Mus musculus: one gene and its partner. The protein of the gene in region 2 interacts with the protein of the main gene of each other region in a biochemical or structural test. Links are inferred from orthologs where the notes say so. Each region holds a gene or a part of one and is shown on either strand. Other genes may lie near its edges.

Region 1 (7,099 bases), on a different chromosome or scaffold from region 2:
CCTGTTCTACAGCGTGAGTTCCAGAACAGCCAGGGCTACACAGAGAAACCCTGTCTCAAAATGCTAAAACGAGACCAAAACCAAACCAAACCAAACCCAAAAATCAAACCACCCCAAACAAAATGAAAGAAAAAAGGAGGAAGAAAGAAACTTAAGAACTGACTTTGAGTTATGACAGTCCTAAGGAGATTTATGCACCACTCCACACAACCCCTAACCATGAAAGGCTAACAGGCACAGAGGAAAACAAAGTAATGAGAAAGGGAAAAATATAGGCCTCTTCACTCCGAATGCAGTGTGTGTTTGTGCACTAGAGTAGTACACAGGTGCTACAGCATGCATACACAAGGAGGGCTGAGAACAGCTTCCCCTGCCTATTCCTACACTACTCATGGATATGCTGGGCCAGATGGCTTATGAGTGTCAGGGCTTCTCCTGTCTCTGTCTGCCTTCTTGATTTAGATATGCGTGGTACTTGATCTGGCCTTCCACAGAATCTGGGGAATCATCCTGCTTTTATAGCCAGTACTTTATCCAGTGAACCACATCCCCTGATCTTCTATTTCCAATACTCCATGTCAGGTACTTGTAGGTGGAGGTACAAATTTAATGGTAGAGTACTTCAAATGACACAAAGCTTACATTTCCAGGAACAGAATCCTAATTATAAATATGCACTATACATTTCTGAATGGAATAGGTGCTGCACAGAAGTGTTTCAATCAGTGTGAATGTAAACCTCTAGAAAACACCACGTTCCTCAGCTGTGTCCTTGTCTACGCTTAAGAGATTCTAACAGGAGAAAGCAGCTGACTGCTTGTCTTCACAAACACCTCAGTCTAGCAAACAGTATGGAACTTCTGGGTGAATAGAACACTCAGCGAGGTGCTACAGTACCGGATTCTTTCCAGTTGTGGACGGCTGCCTGTCTTCTATTTGTGAATGCTCTCAAGTATTTCCTTGTTATAATGCACAGCGGCAAACGACCTGCTGGGCTTCATGCTACAGCTACCAGCTGGTTGCCACTGTGAACACTTACAGTGCTCAGATGCAGCCATTCTTTTAAAATGCTGGAGACATACAGGTTTTAGCTACATATCCACAGAGGAGGCTCTGGCCTTTGCAGAGCTGTATTTAGGCTCAATTTATCATGGGCAAATCAGGAAAGTAGTTAATGCAACTAATATAATTTTCCAAACATAATAAACAGGGCTATTTTGGGAAGAACTATAATAAATATTCAAAGAAAAAATATTAGATTTCTAAAGACTCCAAAATTTTCCTGATTTAAAAAAAAAAAAAACTCAGATAGTAAAAATACTGCAGAGTTCACATATGACTATTTTGACAGCCGTAAAATTAACTCTAGAGTATTTATATACTTGTTTTTTAGAAAGTATCATTTTTTTTCAAAAGAACGTATCTTAATTTTGCAATCATAGCACAAAAAAAAAATAACAATACAGTTGTCTCCTGATTTCTTTGGGAGGCTGAAGATATCCAGATCCACCAAGGTCACATTTTGTCCCTCATATGTCTGTCATAGAATTCATGTGTCACCTAAGCATTCCATCTGGGTCTCTAGGTTCTTCAGAACACTTACTACGTTGAAATCATCATCATCAACGTTGTCTTCACTACTATGACTACTAATATTATTGGACAGGATGTCATCTAGTCCAGGTGGCCCCAAACAGTCTTATGAGTGATGGGGTTATGAACAACATGATGGGAGGCTCCTGGGAACCACAGACAAGTCTTCAAAAGAGGACTACTTCAGGGAAGCCCAAGTCACTGCAGTTCTTTCCTGCACCTCACACACATCTGCAGCCAGTTTCAATGACCTGGTGTGTCCAGCTTTCCACTGTAAGTGCTCTACTGGAATTCATTTTACAGCAAGTAGGTTCCAGTTTTTAAGCTAATGTTCTAAAACCTACAAGCAGCAAAAATGAAATCTAATCTTTGTGGGTTTTGATCCAGACAGGAGCTGTGGAAGGCACTTCATTGGGCCTCCTCACATTCAGAGAACATCAGTCTTGCTCTATTTCCTAAGAGCTAACTAAGGTATCTGAGCACTGTGCTGTCCAAGTCTGGGCTGGGCATGAAGGCCAGCAGAGTGGCAGAGCACCGGAGTTCACAGGAAGAACTGTACTGTGTACACTGAACAAGTCCACTTGGGGGAGGCTAGTGGCTCAACTGTTCATGCGGCACACACTCTCAACAGGATGGCTGCTACCAGACTAAAACTGGACAATGACTGTAAACAGATCCTGAAAGGAGAGCAACACCTCAAATATGAGGAAAGGACATCTTTTTTTCTCCTCCTCCTTCTTCTCCTCCCCCTCTCCCCTCTCTCTCTCTCTCCCCTCGCCCCACCCTTTCTTTCTTTCCTAAGAATGGGTTTCATTACATTTATCAGGTTGTTCTGGAACACACAGAGATCCATTTGCCTCGCTATTGCACTTGCTATTAAGTCTGGCAATCAAAGTTTGACACATGGTAGAGGGAGAGAACCAATTACTGAAGGTTGTTTCTGACAAGCACATACATACAAATAAAACAAGTCTTAACAAAACAAAACAACCCTGGTTAAATGCAAAACAAAAAAAACAAAAAACAAAAAAAACCCAAACAAACCCCAAAACCAAACCAAACCAACACCCAAACCCTCTTGGTGATCCTCATGTGCATCAGAACTGCTAAATGCAGCAGAGTCATCTCTTTAAAGACTGCGTGAGTGTGTGTGCACCCTTGGAAGCCAGACGGTGTCATCAGATCCCCTGGAGTGGAAATTACAGGCGGTTGTGAGCCACCATGTGGGTGCTAGGAACTGTGCATAATACACCAAGTACTCTTTTTTTTTTTTTTTTTTTTTTTAAGATTTTATTTTATTTGTGATTATACTGGGGGAGTATACTGCTTGTAGGGTTGCCACTGGACAACACTAGCCTTGCGGAGTCAATCCTCTCCTTCCTTTGGCTTCTGGGGAGTGACTCTGGGCCTTTAGCTTTGCCCAGTCACTGCTTGTGGTCACTGAGCCCTGGGATTCAGATCTTTGTGAGTACATTGTTGCTGTATTCAGACACACCAGAAGAGGGCACCGGATCTCATTACAGATGGTTGTGAGCCACCATGTGGTTGCTGGGAATTGAACTCAGGACCTCTGGAAGAACAGTAGGTGCTCTTAACCACTGAGCCATCTCTCCAGCCCCACACCAAGTACTCTTAATTGCTGAGCCATCTCTCGAGGCCCAGAAACATCTCTTGATATGATGAATCCTATATACAAACTCTTGGAGAACTCTACTCTACTTCATCAAAAACACAACATCCCTAGGAGAGTCCATCTCCAGTTTGTATTCACACACAATGGTTTACTTGGCAGCCTTGACCCTACTTTGCAGATGAACTTTCATACATGAGTGTTTTGCAAAGGTTCTAGCAGCACTCACCCTTTATTACTTAGTGGTGACGTAGGAGACAGGGAAGGACAGGTCCTCTTGGCAGGGGGTTCTTCCTCCTCTTCATCTGACGAGCTGTCAATGGTTAGGTCAATGACCTCGACTTTCTTGTTTTTATTTGAGGACTGGTTGTGGGACGCTACCTGATGCTCCAATGTGGAGCTCAAGCAACCTGTGCAAGAATGATTAAAACGCAAGACCCGTGTCAATCCTCTTCTCCCAGTGTCCCTGCAGACGAGCACATCCACTTAGCAAAGCAACACCACGGGGTAGCAGAGCGATGTAGTAAGGTAGCTCTGCTTTACTGGGTTTAAAAATGGTGGCATTTTTATTGGTTGTTAATCAATTATTTGAAAAATAATTTTGAATTAGAATAATCAAAATATATCTTAACGCCTTTATTACTCCAATAATTCTGGAGGCAGAGGCAAAAGATCTCTATGAGTTCAAGATCAGCCTGGTCTACATAGTGAGTTCCAGGACAGCTAGGGCTACATACATCTTTTATATCTACTTTAGAATAAAAGTAGTTTTAGAGCAGGATTGTGTGTTACATGTTTTTCTACACAGCATCTAAAGTACCTAGAAAATACTGGTCCTCTCCTAGCAAATCACCAAAGTCAAATCTATCCCCACATATACGAAAATATTTAAAGAAAAGTAGCTGAGTATGGTGCTGCACACCTTTGGTCTTAGCATTCAGGAGGCAGAGCCAAGCGAATACAAAATATGAGACTCCAAAGTCTAAAACAAAACAAAACTAAAGGAAAACAAAAAAAGAAGAAAAAAAGAAAATCTAGTACCATAAACATCTTAAGGCTTGCAAAAAGTTGATTTAAAAGGAATCCTGCTATTTGTGGACATTTAATCAATAACCTAAGAATTACTGAGCTATTTGCACTGCTCAGTAATTTCAACAGTCTGCATTTCTATATTAAAAACCATGGTGTAGCACAACAGCAAGCAACCACCCAGGCCAAGGGAAGCCACTCACCATCAACTCCATTGTAGGAGGCAGTGACTTCTTGAACCTCCTTCTTTGACCTCATTGGAGCCCACGAGCCATCCTCCTTAAACTGTATCTCGTCACAGTCTGTGCAGTACTTTAGAATTTCCATAAACAACCTAGACAGACAATAGAACATGTTTTAAGTGAAGAGACATGAGAACCATAATTCAGAACACTTAGATCACAGGTGTTTTATGAGAGGTAAATGGAAGACAGGGAAGTAGAGCAGACAAACTACATTCACCCTCACACATGCGCTACACGGGAAACAGTTTACATAAAGATGCCATGGAACCTGGAAAGAAACGACAACTTAAAAATATTTCTTTAGTTTGTGCTATATGGGTGGGTAGGTGCCACAGTGCATATGTGGAGGTCTAAAGACAACTTGTATGAGTTCGTTCTCTACTTCCACCCATGGGTTTTAAGTCTTAAACTCAGGCTGTTGGGCTTGGCAGCAAGCACCTTATCTCATCCCCAAGAGTTTTAAGGATACAGAAAAATGTTCACAAAAACTGAGGTGGTTAAGGAATAACATATCTCAAAACAAGATTCTGTGTGTGAATAAAAGCACACACTAATGATCTCTAGATGGTAATTTTATATACATTCAATTTTTTCTTTATACTTTATATTCTATATTTGCAAATTGCTAAAAGATCTTATCTGATAAACTGAAGGGATATATATAAAAATGTCTAACCAGTGCTAGAAAGATGGCTCAGTGGTTAAGAACACTGTTTTTCCAAAGGTCCTGGGTTCAATTCCCAGCAACCACATGGTGGCTCACAACCATCTGAAATGGGATCTGATGTCCTCTTCTGGTGTGTCTGAAGTAAGCTACAGTGTACTCATATACATAAAACAAATAAAATTTTAAAAGATGTTCAACCAACAGTTAAATCCAAATAAAATATACTGGTACTAAAAGTTATTAGTAGCATATAATCAAAATTTATGTAAAAACTAAACTAGAAGTTTTATTAAAAATGCCTTTTATTTCCTGTTCTGTTTTTGAAAGAGCGAGAGAGATCTGTATTATAAGAAAAGGAAGAACTAAGATAAATACTATACAGAGGTGGTAAAATATTACTATTAGTCTAAATTTATAAATTAGTTATCATTTCATTTCTGAAAAATCTAACAGGAAACACTACTTCCTCATATTCTCCCAAGACTCAACATTTTTAAAGCTCTGGGTTGTAAGTCTATTGACAAATACATTCAATTCTTGTATTATTGTCTTCAAGGCTCTTATGTTTTCTCATATACTATAAATAATCTGTCTTGTTTGAGTATTTTGCTGAAGAATACTAGAAATATTAGGGAGGCATTTTTCTCTTTTCACAATGCATTTCCTTGTTTCTTGTTCAGTGGCAAAAAGGCAACCAGAAACCTAAGGGGAATGGCAGACTCAGGCAAATATCAACAGGTCAAGACCAACAGACAGATGGCTAAGAAGGAGAACCTCTGCTCACTGTGTGCAATGGTGAGGACAGAGACCGAAAACACAAAAGGGGAAAGGCAAGGCTAGAAACAGAAGCTGCAGAACAACAGGAACTGCTATCAGCTGGTTGTCCTTGGCTGGGAGCCCTGACAGTGGACAGAAGTGGCAGGGCTTGGTGGACAGGACAGAAGCCAAGCTTCTTCTAAAAAGCCCAACTTTGAAAAGAACCTGTAGTATTTACAAATTGCTTAAATTATTTGTGTGTGTGTGTGTGGGGGGGGGGGGGGTATGTGCACATGGAAACCAGAAAAGGTTATCAGATACACTGGAGCTGGGAACTGAACTTGGGTGACCTATAAAAGCAGTATAGCTCTTAACTGCTAAGCCATTTGTTTAGGACCAAAAGCTATTTGTTTGTTTATTTATTTACTTATTGGATGAGTTTCAATTGCTAGAATCTCAAAATTTGATCATGCATCCTCTTAATGCATGCACTTTGTAGGTCTTAGATGTACTCAATACACACACACACACACACACACACACACACACACACGTATATCGTCTGCTTAGAATTACTGCTTTAAAATAATAAACAGAAGGTGCTGAAAAAAAAGAGGAAAAAGCATGTGTTTTCACAACAAGTAGAATATATACAGCCATAAATAAAACCAATGTTAAAAAGTATTTTAAAGGGCTGGAGAGATAGCTCAGCAGTTAAGAGCAATGACTGCTCTTCCAGAGGTCCTGAGTTCAATTCCCAGCAACCGCATGGTGGCTTATAACCATCTGTAATGGGATCTGATGCCCTCTTCTGGTGTGTCTGAAAACAGCTACAGTGTACTCATACAAAATCAATCAATCAATCAATCTTTAAAAAAATGTTTTAAAGATGGGAGAGACACCAAGATGGTGGAAAGGTTCCTGCCACTAAGCCTAACAGCCCAAGTTTGATCCTCAAAATATAGATGGTAGAAGAAAAGAACCAACTCTCCAATGCTGTCTTCTAACTGCTATATGTTTACAATGTACCTTCCCAAATAAATGTTTTTTAAAAATCCTAAAAGATGAAAAATATTTACAATACTAGTTACTCACTTTTAGTTACTCACTGATTTCTAGAATAATGAAAATTCCATAAACAAACACCTTTGAAAAAATTACCTCTAGGTTTTATCTCAA
Region 2 (7,686 bases):
ACTGTGGGTTATTTTTTTTTTGTGCCTGATCTATTAATTAACTTAACTCTATTCTGTCAAAATGTAAATCAATTTATAAAATAAAGAATCATCACAGAGTTTTGGAATATGAGAACCGAATCAATTTCAAGAGCAAATACTAAAAAGGAGCGCTTCATATAAAAAGCACAAACTATTTAAAGGCAAAAAGGATAAAGAACATATTTTAATAACAGAACTGAATAACCTGAGTTATTTACTTTACTCAAAATCCTCCTCCTCTGCTAATTAAAAGCAATTGGCACCTCTAATATTCTGTCACCTTCTGCTAGTGTGGTCTTTTCCATATACACGCACAGTTTGCTCTCTGGAACATGTAAAAGGAAACCACTTATAGGGATTAAGCTCTGCTCTCTTTTTTCAATATGAAGAACTCTGAATACTCCCAAGAGAACAGCCAGGTCTGAAGAGCCTCCCTACATTCCTGTACAGTGTGGTTTTCTTTCTGGTTTATGTATGGCACAAAGCTACTGCAATATGTAGCAGCTGATTTTCCCCTCATATATGGGTGCTGAGAAAAAATATTCTGTGGTATCATTTTAAATGAGAATTCATCTAAAATGTATAAAAGGCCACTTGGCAAGGTTTTCCAGGTAAAACATGAACATAATCAATAATTTGCAAAGGAAAAAGAGGGTTGTTTTTAAGAAAAAAAATTTTTTGCATTCAACTACAATGATCTAGACATAATTAGAAGATTGATGTAGCCATATTCATTTATGTACTTCATCAGTAACAAGTACTAACATAATATTAATTGCAATCATACAAGATAACATGTAGGGAAGAAATGGAGTGTTTGTACACAGGGCTTATCTATGTATGTCCTGTTTAGACATTTACAGAGTAGGTAAAAACTACTGGAGTGCTTTAGAGAATCCCTGTTACATACCCATGTTATGTTTAGCTTAACACTGTTTGTAACCAAAAGCTTTCTACAATAATGAGGAACAGGTGCCTGTCACCTGACCTTTTAGGCCTAATTTACAACCCACAACCTGTCACATGAAAAAAAAAAAGCATTGAGATTCCCTCCTAGATTTTTCAGACCCTGCTAGTTTACTGTGGTGTTTCTCAGCTATCACTCAACAGCATCATATCTTACTCAGTCACAGGTTCATATAGCTGGCAACAGACTTCTTTGAAGAATAAACCAATATTCATTTTGTTGTTGCTTTTGTTGAAAATGCCAAAGAGACAAGGAACTACTTTTGTAGATTATCAACCAAAGAAGAATATATTAATTTATTACAAGGGAACAAAAGGCATTCCTTTTGAATACTTTTACATACAAAGAACTATTATTTATTACATATTTCAGCTTGTGGGAAAGTAAGGAATGCATTGATTCTGGAAATAGCTATGTGGATTTGGGAAGTTCTTTAGGTCTTTATCATTGTTCTCCCTCCCCTACCTCGCATACATTTTAAGAAGCTATTACTTCAGGGAGGAAATCCCTATTTGTTCCTTTTTCATCCATCATCTGTATTCATTATTCAGAAAGGAAAACAAAATTGAGCAGTGATTTTATTTCTCTTGCATAACCTTGTTACATGTAGCCATATTCAAATTTAACAATGCTCTGTATTTTATTGCTACTGTTTACATATTATGTATTACATATGACTGAACAACTCTACATTTAAAATATTGTTTCCATTAGAAAAAAATGAACTAATAAGTGTCAAATAGAGATGAAGACTAAACATACTTGGTATATTTATAAGATGAGGTCATTTAAAATGCATACAAACGGGATGACTATTTCGCTACTGTTGCATGTTATATAGTATGCACATTGCTTAAAATGTATTTATTTAACAATGCCCTTAACCAAGTTAATTAAAGTATTTCTGCGTGGTAACTGTGTTAGAGCTTGGGAGGTAGTGAATGATGCCGCCAGTTACTTCTGCTAAGTTAAGTTGAAATTAAGCACTTATTATAACCTTTCCTAACAATGTGAGAAAGACTGAGTAAATATATTAAATTTGTTTCACAACAGATGCTTGGGTTGTTAATATTTAAGATGCCTATTCATGCTATTCCTGTCTGCACATTTGTCAAAAATGTAAGCTTGAATGCTAATGTTTGCCAGCAGACTGGAGCAGGCAGTGTATGCGCTTACTACTGTTCTACAAAAATAATATGCCATAGAAATAAAGAACCGCTGCTAAGTCATAGCCCGAGTTCCACATGGGAGATTCATAAAGGGTTATAGAGCCAGCACCGCAACCCTTGCTTTCTTTGGATTTAAAGTATGGCATAACTTACTCATCTATCTATCTATCTATCTATCTATCTATCTATCTATCTATCTATCTATCTATCTATCTACCTACCTACCTACCTACCTACCTATCTGGAGAATCTGACTACAAAATAAAATTTCACTCTTTCAGAAAATCCACTCTGGACAAGGTGTAAAATTAAGTAAAGTTTTTGGAAGGCTGAGCTTCTGTCACCAGGCACAAACACTGTAAAAAATCCAGGTACTGCTTAAGGACAGAACCTGACTTCTGGCAGAAAGAGACCAGACTCTTGCTCATTCCCCTCTTCTGTCTTGGGAAAGTTGGGTTCTCTGGCCTCCAAGGATACAAACATGGAACCCCAGCCAATCAATCGGGAGCAGAAAAGGTTCTCTCCAGGGAATTGGGTGTCTTCCGGTCCCTATGGACAAGTGAAATCCACGTCTTAACCCTGGGAATCCTACATGCCTCAGAGAAAGTTCTCCCAGAAAGGGTGCAGAGGTCAAAGTTGTCAACCGGACATTTTAAGAGATGAGCCTGTGGTTGACATCTTGTTAAGTAAAACCTGGCCCTGGTGGAGGCCAGGGTCAAAACCTCTACCCTGAGCTCTAAGCTGCTGTCCTCTTGGTCTTCTGGGATCATCCCAGAAGGGACCTGTTTAGCGCCTTTTGCTGGGCCAAGCACACGCACGTGTCACCATCTGGACCTGCCGCTTGCCCCCTCAGTCCCTTGCATTCGAGCTGCCCAACCCCAGTTCGGCCACCCTGGGAGCTCTGCAATGGAGGAACACTGTAGAAGGCCGCCGCTCTCGGGTGTGTACTGTCGCAGGGAAATGAGGAGTTGCCCCCTGGGCTGCACCTGTGGGGCCACAGTCCCAGCTAAGACACCATGTACCTCCCTCGGCTTCCCGCCCAAGCCCAAACCCGAATCACCCTCCAGGACCGACCCGCGATCGCCGGCGTGGGCTGCACGAGCGCTGTTCTTCGGCTCTCAAACTCTGGGCTCCAACTTGAGCGCCCAGCGCCCGAGTGGCTCTCGGGATAGAGAAGTTGCCACAAACTTCCCAGGCCCCTCTCCACCTCCGCTCGCCACCAGCAAAGTAGGGCTGGCCGGGAAAGAACAGGGGGAGATGAGATGGGAGAGGATGCTAAGTGAACTCCAGATCTGGCGCGCGACCTTTCCAACTCCACCCCGCACCTCGCCTCCTTCCCCGCACCGGGGCTCACTGAGCGGCTCCCTTTTCCCCACTCGCCCGCCGAGGGCTTCCCCCCACGCCGCCTTCGTCCTCTAAAGCGGGCCATGCCCACGACCTGGACTAAAGTGTCTAACGAGGGACTCCTGCCGGGCAGGTGTGCGGGAGAGGCAAAGACGCCAAGTAAGTCCGCATCCCGGCCATGACCCTCACTTCACCAGCCCAGTCCTCCCGAATGTCTGAGCGCGCTCGAGAGAAGGGCCAGCAAGACCCCGGCACGCGAGGGGCGCAGAGTCGCCCCAGCCGGGGCCACTGAGAAGTTTGGATCGGTTCCGCATCCGCAGAAAACGGAGGCGAGCCGGGCAAGAGACCCAGAGCGGGAGCAGCACTGGCAGGGAGCAAAGAAGCGGGACTCACTCAGGCGTGGAACCGGGACAGCGCGGGCCAGCGGTGCGGGCCGAGGCCGGGTCGGCTCCCCGCGCGGGCGCGCCGGGCGGCGGACTTCCCGGGCGGCGGCTGCAGCTGCTGCCACCTCCCCGCCGCCGAGCTGGCGGCCGCCGCGGAAGTTAATGGCAACTTGACTTCAAGTTGTCTCCTCTCCCCATCCGAAGTGGGCGTTTAAAGGGGGCAGAGCGCGGCGAGCAGCGAGCGGGGAGCGCGCGGGGCCGAGGGGGAAGGGAAGGGGCGGGGGCGGGGCGGGGCGCGGGAGGGGGCGCGGGAGCCGCTCGGAGCCCGCAGTGTAGAGCGCGGCGCGGGCGATCGGGGCGCCCCCACGAGAGCCCCCCGACGCTGGCCGGGGGCCGTGCGTGCCTGGGGCGCCGCGCTCTCGCCTCTCGCCCGCGTGGGGGGCTTGCGGACCCCACAGCGGGAGCGACCGGGCCCGGCCTGCCTCCCCCGCGCCCGCGGCCGCTTCTCCCCCTGGCGGCAGGATCCTGGGCGGCCGGTGGCTCCGAGAGCGCGCAGTGGAGCCCGAGCTGAGCCGAGCCCGAGCCACCGCAGCCGCCACATCCCTGAGCGCCGCCCGGGTGCAGGGTCGCTGCGGGAGAGCGACCCCGCGGCCGCCAGGGTAAGTGTGGGCGAGCCCCGGAGCCCCACCGCCCCGGCCCTCACCTGCACCGCCCCCGCCGCGCACCCTCGCCGCCCGCCGCTTCCTCTTGTCGTTGTTTGCCTGGGCTTTGGGGGTGCAGAGCGCGGGGCATTGGTGTGTGTGTGTGCCAGCGGAGGAGGAAGTCAGGTGAGAGGCCTGAGCACAACCCCCGCGCCCCGCAAGCCAGCTTGTGTGGGGTGTGTCGCTCCCCAGTAGGGGCATGCGGGCCAAGTTTTCCCCTCTCTTCAATGTTTGATGGAGAAGATCTTTCCTAGAGGGGACCTCCTTCCCTTCAAACTGATGGGCTCTTCTTGCTATCCTCTTCTCTTGGGCACCCCTATTGAGGAACACATAGTGGATGGAGGAGGAGGGGGCCTCTTGCAGACCCCCTTCTCAACCCCAGCTATTTGCATCAGTATCATTTTCCTGTCGGCAGCTGTAGGTCGACGCACCCAACCAGAAGGAGATGCTTAAGCCACTGTCCAAGTCTCTTCTCCCACCCTGACCCACCCAAAAGCAGGGGCAAAGAGGTCAAGAAATGCGGATTTCGTAGGAGGGGAGGCTGGGCCCAGGGACCTTTTCAACTGGTGAAGCTCCAAAGAACTCTGAAAGGTCAAAGTAGCTGAAGGCTTGGACCCCCAAGCTAGGGAGAAATTGGACTCTATCAACTTTAACCCACTCCCCTGCTACTCCTTCCCCACACAACCCCCAGCTCTAAGGAAGCTATCAACTAACAGGTCTTTTGTTTCCTGTTGTGTCGCCTTTGGGAAATTTGCATTGAACGTGACGATAGAAAATTACTACTGTTTACTCGAAGTTAAGGGGGTTGCAGAACGAAAACAGTTTTTACTTTTCTCTTTGTGTGTTTGGCAAGGAGTGGAGCTGTTAGGTTCGTGGCAGGAATTGCAGAAGCTCAGTTGTAAAAATAAGGACTGTAGAACTGCCTGGGTCTGTTTTTAGCAGCTGCACTTTCTTGCGTTCTTTCACATAAGGCTTGCTCTCTCATTAAGTCCCCATAAATAATTGTATGTGGAGCGAAGGCAGTCAGGGTGGCAGGATTGAGATTGCTGGGAGTTCCATCCCTCCAGCGCAGAGCTGTTTGCAGGCAAGTTCCTGGAAAGTGACTGTGGGCTGAGAATTCAGTTTTTCCTAAAAGCTCTGTCAGGTCCTCTTCTGTCGGTTGCCTATGAATCAAGCCTGACACGGTGGGTGACTAGCGATTTGAGCCTTGGTAGCAAACACGTCGACGGTGCAGTGGGAGTTTTTGTTTGTGTTTTGTTTTTTGGTTTGGTTTGGTTTTTTTTTGTTTTTGTTTTTGTTTTTTTGGTGAGGTCATTCTAAATGAAGCAAAATGACATAGTTCAGGCAGCTTTCTGAGAGCCCCCTCGTCCATCCTTGATTTCCCTAGAATTCTCCAATTTTTTCAACTTTTTTTTTATAATTCAAAATACCATGCCAAAGGCATAAGGACATAAACAAATATGAACTAATTTTCATTTGGGGAACTACCTCCTCCCCCTTCTGCTCCTCCTCCCCTTCTTCTTCCTCCTCGCCCCCCCACCCCCAAGCCAACGAGCCCCCTGGAAAGCAAAGCAAGAAGCTATGGGTGATTACAAAGAGCAAAACAACATAAAACATGAGTTTCTCTTCCTGGCTCAGGTTTTTCCCTTCAAGTCCTGGGTGACTTCAAATTTTCTTGCCTTGATTTGCCAAAGTAGGGACTTGTCTAACTAGGTGCCAGTGTCCCCACTGAGCAGGGCAGGTGAGAATGGAGGCTCTGCAAGCTTAGCCTTTACTGATTATTATTGTGAACATATAAAATTGGAGCACAACAGAAGCCCAAAAATGCATTAACATTTCCTCTTTTATACGCTCATATGCTTACCTAGTAATTCAGCTTATCAGATAAATCCCATCATTTAGAGTAAGGTCTCACTTTGCTTCCAACAGCCTGGATTTCCTTCTCTTCTTCCTTCCTTTCCATCCCTAACAGTCAGTAACAGGCAGTATCTACAAACTCTAAGTTTATAGGCACCCACTCTAAAGTGGCATAAACACACACACACACCTTTTTAGTGTCTAGGTCTAAGGTATTTTGCTATAGGATCCAGCATGAAGTGGTATAATTATGTTTAAAGATACTTCTAATCATCTTATTTTATGTGTATGTGTGTGGGGGGGGTCTTTTGCCTACGTGTATATGTTCATCATCTACATGCCTGGTGCCAGGGGAGTTCAGAAGAGATCTGTATCACATCCGCTGGGACTGAAGTTACAGATGGTTGTGAGATGTCACGTGGGTGCTGGGAATCGAACCCGAGTCTTTCAGAAACACACAGTGCTCCAGAGCCCCGAGACATCTCGAAAGCCCCTGATTTCATTTTTCTAACAAATCCAAATGTAGTGTAAGTAGTTGACAGACACGTAGATCTAAAACATATCAAAATATAGATAATAGGAGTTAATATCAATAGCCACTGATCTTTTCAGAAGAGAGAGAGTACAGTTTTGCCTTCTACACTACATACAAGGAAAGGGATAAAACAGGATTAGCCTTACTGAATAAGCAGCATGAGAATGTGAAATGATAACTGATTTGAGTGAAGGCCTTGAGTCAAGGAGAAAGATAAATTCCCTTTCTGACTGTGGTACAGCCTTGAACATGCCTGTTGCCTGGGGCTGTGGTGGGTAGAGGTGTTTGCCCCCAAACCTACCCAACGTGAGTTTGGTTCCCAGGTCCTACTTGATGGAAGGAGAGAAGCGACGCCTCAAAGTTACCCTCTCTGACCTCAGTGCAAGAACCAGGCCCACCCACCCACACAATAAACAAATGTAACTTTCAAATTTTCTCTTAAGGAAGAGAACACAGTCAGAAGATCTGGGTTTGATGTTATTTTTATGGCTACTTGGCCAATTCAGACCTTTACAGATCATGTGATCAGATGTCTTAAGTGGATAGCCTTATAATGGCCGGAATTCCGGTTTCAGAGCTTACCACAGAGTAGAGTTCGGTTTGGAGCCTACAATATTTAGTGTGAGAATGAGTACATTTCAAAGTCATTTCTTCCATCTTTGTGCACTTGACGTTTTTGTTTTCCTTCATGTGTACGGAATTGGTGTTC

What was found.
Region 1: the proteins of Satb1 (region 2) and Pias1 form a complex in vitro, tested with the Homo sapiens proteins (2 studies listed by BioGRID, with this or other methods). The link is inferred for Mus musculus from reciprocal best matches to the Homo sapiens genes SATB1 and PIAS1.

The regions. Positions count from the first base shown.
Region 1 is NC_000075.6:62,888,674-62,895,772, forward strand, and holds part of Pias1 (E3 SUMO-protein ligase PIAS1), read right to left. Parts: intron 4,587-7,099; coding exon 4,456-4,586; intron 3,634-4,455; coding exon 3,453-3,633; intron 1-3,452. UniProt on the Homo sapiens protein: Functions as an E3-type small ubiquitin-like modifier (SUMO) ligase, stabilizing the interaction between UBE2I and the substrate, and as a SUMO-tethering factor. Catalyzes sumoylation of various proteins, such as CEBPB, MRE11, MTA1, PTK2 and PML.
Region 2 is NC_000083.6:51,828,576-51,836,261, forward strand, and holds the start of Satb1 (DNA-binding protein SATB1), read right to left. Parts: upstream 4,073-7,686; 5' UTR 3,895-4,072; intron 1,176-3,894; exon of another isoform or gene 1-1,175. UniProt on the Homo sapiens protein: Crucial silencing factor contributing to the initiation of X inactivation mediated by Xist RNA that occurs during embryogenesis and in lymphoma.